2 linked regions of the Kluyveromyces lactis genome follow. The protein of the gene in region 1 interacts with the protein of each later gene in a biochemical or structural test. Links are inferred from orthologs where the notes say so. Each region holds a gene or a part of one and is shown in the gene's direction. Other genes may lie near its edges. The genes, in order: RAD54 and MEK1.

Region 1 (4,273 bases):
GGGCAAGATAAAGCTCTGTTCCATCTGGCCAAAAATTCGTAACCACAGTCGTCACTCTAACTAGAAACAAATCGGTTGGCACCAAAAACTGGTTCCCCGTTAGATTAGAATGGAAAAACTTTTTGAGAATCTTGCCTCCACTACAACGCTTTCTAGCTCTAAATCGGAGAAACTGTCTTTTTTTTTTTTTTCAAAAAGAACGAAAAATGAACATAATAGAGAAGTCCTTCCAGTTTTCTACGCCTGGCAATGTAAATACGAAGCTAAGGAGTTTGCTTGGAGTACCGAAATGGTACTCCCATCTGTTTTAACTCCCCCTTATGAGGAGAGAAACTTTAATGGAGATTCGATTAGCAGAAACATAAGAAGCTCCGACAATTTCCAGTTTTGAGACCCTAAGTAGTTAGAATATTATGTGAGCGTGTTTTTCTTTGATATCTATCAAGATTTCTTTTTTACTCCTCACCACCTCTCTATTTACATTGAAAGTTTTGCCGAAGGAATCCGAATCTGTCTCCAATAAAGGAACAAACCCCCTTTCCCCTCCTCTTTAAAAAAAAAAGTTTGTAAGTGATTTAACAACCGAGCACTATTATCAAAGATGTAATTGAGAGAATCGGAGGTACATGTCCGTTGGCTCCTAATAGTTGTCAAGAGTTGGCGTGTTGGGAAATTATCGCTACCCACATGGGGTTGTTGGAGACGTATGCGAGATTATACTAAGAACGCTGGAGGTTACCCTTTTCGGAGTTTTTGGGAGTTTAATGTGATTTTGTATCAGGTGACTGACTTCTTTTTCTTTTTTTTCGGAGTGGTCTGAATACAATGTCTTGCCTAGCAACAAAATGATATCGAAGGAAAACTGGGTGAGGGGCTCCGAAATTTGTGGAAGTGCGCTCGTTCCTTGAGGCTTGTCCATCATTAATGTGGTAGGGTAACTTCAATGGAATTTACGATTTCGGAGGTAATCTTTTGTTTTGGTTAACGTTCACGTGAATGTCAGGGTAATGCTTTCTTGTATTTTTCCTTTTCAGCAATGTTTACGTTTTTGATTTTTTGCCACCACGCGTTTTCGTGTTTGCCTCAACTGAAATCTCATCATCATCTTTATTTACAAAACATAAAATACATTACTAAAATGATTAACATGGTGAATGATTATAATGCCCTAGTCTTACTTTAATGTACACACTTAACACCAGGGGATATACCATCGTTTCATTTACCGAAAGACTATGGCACGCCGGAGGTTACCAGACAGACCGCCAAACGGGATCGGTGCTGGAGCTCGTCCAAATTTGAGACCAAGAAGGTTGGACACTAACCAAGCACTGGAAACGTTAACGAAACCTTTCAAAGTTCCGTTTAAAGTTAATAAAACCGACCATGCCAAACGATATGGAGTGAGATCTTCAAGAAGATCTCAAACGACTTATGCAAATATGGATTCTTCCTTAGATTCTGATTTGCACGTTAAAAGGAAAGATGCACTATCTTTATCCAGATTGAATGCAGAGCCATCAAGACTGGATACAATATATTCAACATTAAGACGGTCATTTACCGTACCGATCAAGGGGTACGTTCCAAGGCACAATATTCCGATGGCTTTGGGAACCAAGGCAAAAGTTGTTATACCACCAAGACCGTTGCATGATCCGACAGACGAGCTTGCCATCGTTCTTTATGATCCTACAGTGGACGGTGATATCCCTGAGCAGCATGAAGATTTGGAATCGTTTAGACAAAATGCAGTAGACACTAAGAAGTCTCAAAAGGGGAAGGATTCAGAGTCGCAAGACCAGAAAGCAAAGGAATCTTCGCCCAATTCTGCTCCATCAATTCATCACCCTAAAATGCTATCCAACGGTGTGAAGAATAAAACCCTAAAAGAGCTATTAGGATCTTCTGAAGATAATACATCAAAAAAGTTCCCCAACGTACCAGTTGTGATTGATCCCAAATTGGCTAAGATTTTAAGACCGCATCAAGTTGAGGGTGTTAGATTTTTGTATAGATGTGTTACTGGTTTAGTCATGAAAGACTTTTTGGATGCCAAAACAGTGTTGGACTCAAGCTCTCAATCAATGGAAAAAGCTGATACACAAGCTGATTCTAACATAACAGGTTCGAAATCACCGGTTGAAACTGATGTCTCGTCCCTTAAAGACGTTATTAAAATCAATGAAAATTCTAGAAACAGGGGAGCCTATGGGTGTATTATGGCAGATGAAATGGGATTGGGTAAGACATTACAATGCTTAGCGTTAATGTGGACCATGTTGAAACAAGGTCCGCAAGGTAGGAGATCAATTGATAAATGTATTATTGTGTGTCCATCATCTTTAGTCAACAATTGGGCAAATGAAATTGACAAATGGTTGGGACCAGGTTCTCTTTCTTCATTGGCTATTGACGGTAAAAAGTCCAGTCTAAATAATGGAAATGTGGCGGATTCAGTGAGTCATTGGGCTTCAGCTCAAGGTAGAAATATCGTCAAACCTGTCCTCATCATTTCTTATGACACTTTAAGGCGTAATGTCGAACAGTTAAAGAACTGTGAGGTTGGACTAATGTTAGCAGATGAGGGGCATCGTTTGAAGAATGCAGATTCCTTAACATTCACGGCATTGGATTCCATTAGGTGTCCGAGAAGAGTTATTCTATCGGGAACTCCGATTCAAAATGATTTATCGGAGTATTTTGCATTATTAAATTTCTCAAATCCCGGATTGTTGGGTTCCAGAAATGACTTTAGGAAAAACTTCGAATTACCGATTTTACAGAGTAGAGATTCATTGGCTACAGATGAAGAGGTCACTTTGGGTAAGGATAGGTTGAGACAACTTTCAAACATTGTCTCGAAGTTCATTATCAGGCGTACCAACAATATTTTGGCAAAATATCTACCTTGCAAATACGAGCATGTTATATTCATAAATTTAACACCATTTCAGCAATCTCTATATCAGCATTTCATTGAATCAAGAGCTGTTAAGAAGATCGTTAAAGGGGATAGTAACCAACCGTTGAAGGCAATCGGTTTGTTAAAAAAATTATGTAACCATCCAGACTTATTAGAGCTATCTGAAGACATTCCGGGTTCAGAAGAGTTAATACCCGACGATTATCAATCTTCTGTTGACTCCCGCACTTCAAGAAATAGAAGCGTTATTCAGACAGCTTTTTCCAGTAAGTTTTCGGTCTTGGCAAGATTTTTGTACAAAATTAAAACGGAGTCTAACGACAAGATTGTGTTGATTTCAAACTATACCCAGACGCTAGACTTGATTGAAAAAATGTGTTTTAGTAACCACTATGGCGTATTGAGATTGGATGGTACCATGAACATCAATAAAAGACAAAAGTTAGTGGACCGGTTCAATGATCCGGAGGGACAAGAGTTTATATTTTTGTTAAGTTCCAAGGCCGGTGGTTGCGGTATAAACTTGATTGGTGCCAACAGATTGATTTTATTAGATCCAGATTGGAACCCGGCTGCAGATCAACAAGCTTTGGCTAGAGTTTGGAGAGATGGGCAAAAGAAAGATTGTTTTATCTACAGATTCATTAGTACTGGTACCATTGAAGAGAAGATTTTCCAAAGACAATCGATGAAGATGAGTTTGAGTTCATGTGTTGTGGATGAAAAGGAGGATGTTGAACGATTGTTCAGTTCGGATAATTTGAAGCAATTGTTCAAACTTGATACAAAAACCATATGTGATACCCATGAGACATATAATTGTAAACGCTGTAAGAATGGAAAGCAAATTTTGAAAGCTCCGGTAATGCTATACGGTGACGCGACTTCGTGGAATCATTTGAATCACGATGCATTAGCAAAAACAAACGACCATCTCTTGAAAAATGAATTCAATCACAAAGACATCAGTTTTGCATTTCAATATATATCGCATTGATCTTTCATTTTTTTAAAGTACATTTTAATTTCACTACTATATAGACGCATTAATAAATTCGGTTTCTGGGCGGTTCGGAACAGATAACTCGGTTAATATGAAGAGGCAACTCAAGTTTTCGAGATCTTTGAGCCGATCCTAATTTATATAAATACAGTTTGAATATGGATTTCCATATTAAAGCTAATTTTATTACGAGTATGTTTGAATAGAGTTACATGAACATATGTACTTACCCTAGAATAAGGTAGTTTAAGAATTATAAGTGTGTCATCAAATCATCAATGTCTGCGAATTCAACGGGGAACAGGTCGTTAGGAGAGGGGTTATTACCTTCACTAGTGCCACTG
Region 2 (3,669 bases), on another chromosome or scaffold:
GGCTTCCACAGCTTTAGCAATAGCTTCTTCTTGGGACATGTTGAACACAATGTCACGGAACATGTCGGAGGTGGCCAAATACGTATGGATGGTGGCTTTCTTAGCACCATGCAAAGCTTCAACTGTTCTTCTAATCAAATGTTCTCTCGATTGAACAAGACATTGAATGGAAACATCTTCTGGGGCGTTTTCAACAGCGTATCTTGTGAAGTCGAAATCTGTTTGCGACGCAGATGGGAATGAGACCTCAATTTCTTTGAAACCAATCTCAATCAACTTATGGAAATATTCCTTCTTCTGCTCGACAGACATAGGATCTGGTAAAGATTGATTCCCGTCTCTTAGATCGGTAGAAAGCCACCTAGGAGCCTTGGTGATGGTCTTCGAAGGCCATTGTCTATTTTCCAAGTTGATCTGTGGGTATGGTCTATATTTCGTCGATGGATCTTTTAGCATATTCTTGTACGCTAGTTTCACTGGAGGAATAGCTTTTTTCCCAGCCTGTGCTAAACGCACAACGGTGTTCCTGAATATCATACTCAATATGGGGTATGGTTGCCTGGTCGTATCACCTTTGGAACAGTAGCTTAATGTCTCCCCTAAATAGCTATCCTATGAATCAACTGCACAAACTCCGTGTCCTAAAATCTCACCAGACAAAGACTGTTCTGGTGCATATATATATATATAAGACATGGCTCATCACATCACGTCTTTTTGCCGAAATTTTTCACTCGATTCAGAATTTTTCAGTTTTTCAATATTTCAGCATCGCCAGAAAAAAGTATCGCCAGAACTTGACTGTGAGTAATTCCCATAATAGTTTTTCATGGCTTTTTCTTTTTCTTTCTTTACTGTTTTGCAGGGAAAAAAGCTTCTTCGAGGGCCGTGATGAATGGAGTACGTAGAGTTCGTGAGTACTTTTTCGAAATACAGAGGGGAAGTTCAGGCAAACATTGCTGACTGGAACGTTCCCAGTGACAATTAATGAAGGGTTATGAGAGGGTTAGAAGTTGTTAGCGAGCAACATGGTGGTGTTTGAGCGCCTGTGCTTGCATGTAGAGGATAGAGGTTGGAGAGGACGTTGAACGATATGGGAAGTGGGGTTACTTGCGGTATGTGTTTCTTTTGAATTGTGCTCAAGAGGATCTTAGAGTCACGTGGTGCATATTGTGATTATGTCATCGGATTGCAATTTTGTTTCACGTGGGCCATTCTTCTTTGCTTGCCGGGTAATGAATTGGTTGTTTGTTTTCTTAATATTCGCTTTTTTGTCGTTTCATTTTAGCCGCGCACATCTGGCATCTATATAAACATACAGCATGGCAGTCTCAGATCCTTAAGAGGAGCCTCATTAGCCACTTCTCCCTCTGTTGGAATAGTTCCCACTATATTGGATAGACGGAGGCTAAAAAAATGGACAAAGTTTTGGGAGTATTGGAAGTCGATTTGGAGAGCGAGCTGGACTCCTCGCCGCAGTTCATCGTAAATCATTTCCAAATTGAAATTAATAAGGTATTGAAACTTGGACGGAACACTGAGGAGTGTATTTACTCTGTTGAACATCCTTCTGTTTCGAACATTCACTGTGTGCTATGGGGCATCAGATTTGATCCCGAGAGCGTTCCACTTTGCTACATAAAGGATATGTCATTGAATGGGACGATGGTCAATGAGCAGGTCTTATCCAGAGACGTCCCATACTTGTTATCCAACCAAGACGTGATTCAATTACCAAACGGGGCAAAATTTAAGTTCTCTGCAGTGAAAAGCGAAACGATGTCACAGTTTATGACTGGGTTGAGAATTAAATCGGAATGGGATCGATGGAAAATTGTGCCGCGTATAGTGGGCTCAGGAACTTTTGGACATGTCTTGGTAGCAGAAAAAGTGGACCACAATATGAAAAGACAAGTTGCTAAAAAGACTGTTTCATATGCTGTAAAAGTTATCAACACTGCAAAGACTAGGATGGTGAAAGAAGCCACCATTCTTGAAAAATTGAATCATCCAAATATTATTCGTATTCATCAATCTTGTGTTGATGCCCTTGGCAATGTATACATTTTTCAGGATCTTATATCGGGAGGTGATCTCTTCTCTTATTTGGCAAAAGGCGATTGCTTAGTTCCGATTTCTGAAACAGAATCGTTGATAATCATATATCAGATTCTCTTAGCTTTGAAGTTCTTACATTCAAACGGCATCGTTCACAGGGATTTGAAGTTGGACAATATCCTCTTGCATACCCCAGAACCATGTACTAAGGTTGTTCTTGCAGATTTTGGTATTGCAAAAGAATTATCTCAAAATACAAAAGAAAGAATGCATACTGTGGTCGGTACTCCGGAATATTGTGCACCAGAAGTGGGATTCAAAGCCGATCGTAATATTTATCGATCGTTCAGTAGAACTGCTACCTTAGATCCAGACAACAACGGCTATGATTCCAAGTGCGATATTTGGTCCCTCGGCGTCATAACACACATCATGCTCACTGGGATTTCCCCTTTTTATGGTGATGGATCTGAAGCAAGCATCATCAAAAATGTTAGAACTGGAAAACTAAATTTTACTGCTAGACAATGGATTGCTATCACAGATAGTGCCAAGAGTTTTGTTAAGAAATGTCTACAAGTTTCTACTTTTAATAGATGTGATGTGGAAGAAGCTTTACATCAGGTTTGGGTGGAAAAACATACTAGTCAATTGGAAAGAATATACAAAAAGAAAGTTTTACAGTTAAGCTCTGATTGCATAAAAATTGATGAGAACATTGATACCTTTGCTGTTGTAAAACATAAACTACCGAAAAGTGTCAAACTTTCCCCCGAAAAAAACCCTAACAAACGATTGAAACTTTTTTCAAACAATATTTAATGTGACGCTGCTATTAAAAAGTTGGTCAGCTTTGAATCTGTTTGTTTATATATACATAAAGTGCCATTGGTGAAGATACTCTCTTTGTTACACGCTCTTTTCGTGTCATAGTGTTTTGTTTCTTGATTTATCCGTCCAATATTTTCTATGCTCATCGCTTTCATTTTTTTTTGTTTTTCTCTCATATATCAAATACAGTTGGCAATACAAAAAAAATTAACTTAAGACGACATCCAAAGAATTAAGGCACTTTCCAGTTATGCTTTTTGTATTGCACTGAGCCGCTCTTTGTTTCTTTTCACTGCCATCTTCACTAACATTCGACTTATTTTTTACACAATTGTAAGCCCTCAGCCAGCAAAACATTACTGTTTACCAAATTTGTTGTGTGAGGTTTGTGCATTTGCGTCATGAATAAGGTAAAATCAATAAGCAGTGCGATCTCTAAACAAAAAGTTGCTTCTTCTTCATACGATCAATCATATCTCTCTTTGTTAAGAGAAACCTTGGATGAAGAGTTATTGCGAGATCGTGGGTCCAGTAAGCTACTTAATGATTCCACAAGAGCTTTTTTGAACTCTACATGGTATAAAGACTCGGGAAAGAATGGCGGTGCTCGAAAGGACATACTATGGTTACCAGCTGTTTCTTCGTATATGGATGTGCTACTTAGAGAGCGTAAATTTAAACAGGCTTTCCATATGTTGAGCCTCCTAAAAACAAATAAAATTGAATGGATCAAACCCCCAGGCGAGACGTTGTATAAAGACGAAGCAGGTATTCCGGAAG

Evidence for each region.
Region 2: of the proteins of RAD54 (region 1) and MEK1, one has a biochemical effect on the other in vitro, tested with the Saccharomyces cerevisiae proteins (2 studies listed by BioGRID). The link is inferred for Kluyveromyces lactis from reciprocal best matches to the Saccharomyces cerevisiae genes RAD54 and MEK1.

What each region holds. Positions count from the first base shown.
Region 1 is NC_006037.1:271,166-275,438, reverse strand, and holds RAD54 (DNA-dependent ATPase RAD54), read left to right. Parts: upstream 1-1,235; coding exon 1,236-3,923; downstream 3,924-4,273. Other genes in the region: CUP2 (Cup2p), read right to left, coding at 4,183-4,273. UniProt on the Saccharomyces cerevisiae protein: Plays an essential role in homologous recombination (HR) which is a major pathway for repairing DNA double-strand breaks (DSBs), single-stranded DNA (ssDNA) gaps, and stalled or collapsed replication forks.
Region 2 is NC_006042.1:2,197,814-2,201,482, reverse strand, and holds MEK1 (serine/threonine protein kinase MEK1), read left to right. Parts: upstream 1-1,416; coding exon 1,417-2,880; downstream 2,881-3,669. Other genes in the region: KLLA0_F23529g (uncharacterized protein), read right to left, coding at 1-537; KLLA0_F23485g (uncharacterized protein), read left to right, coding at 3,291-3,669. UniProt on the Saccharomyces cerevisiae protein: Probable protein kinase required for meiotic recombination.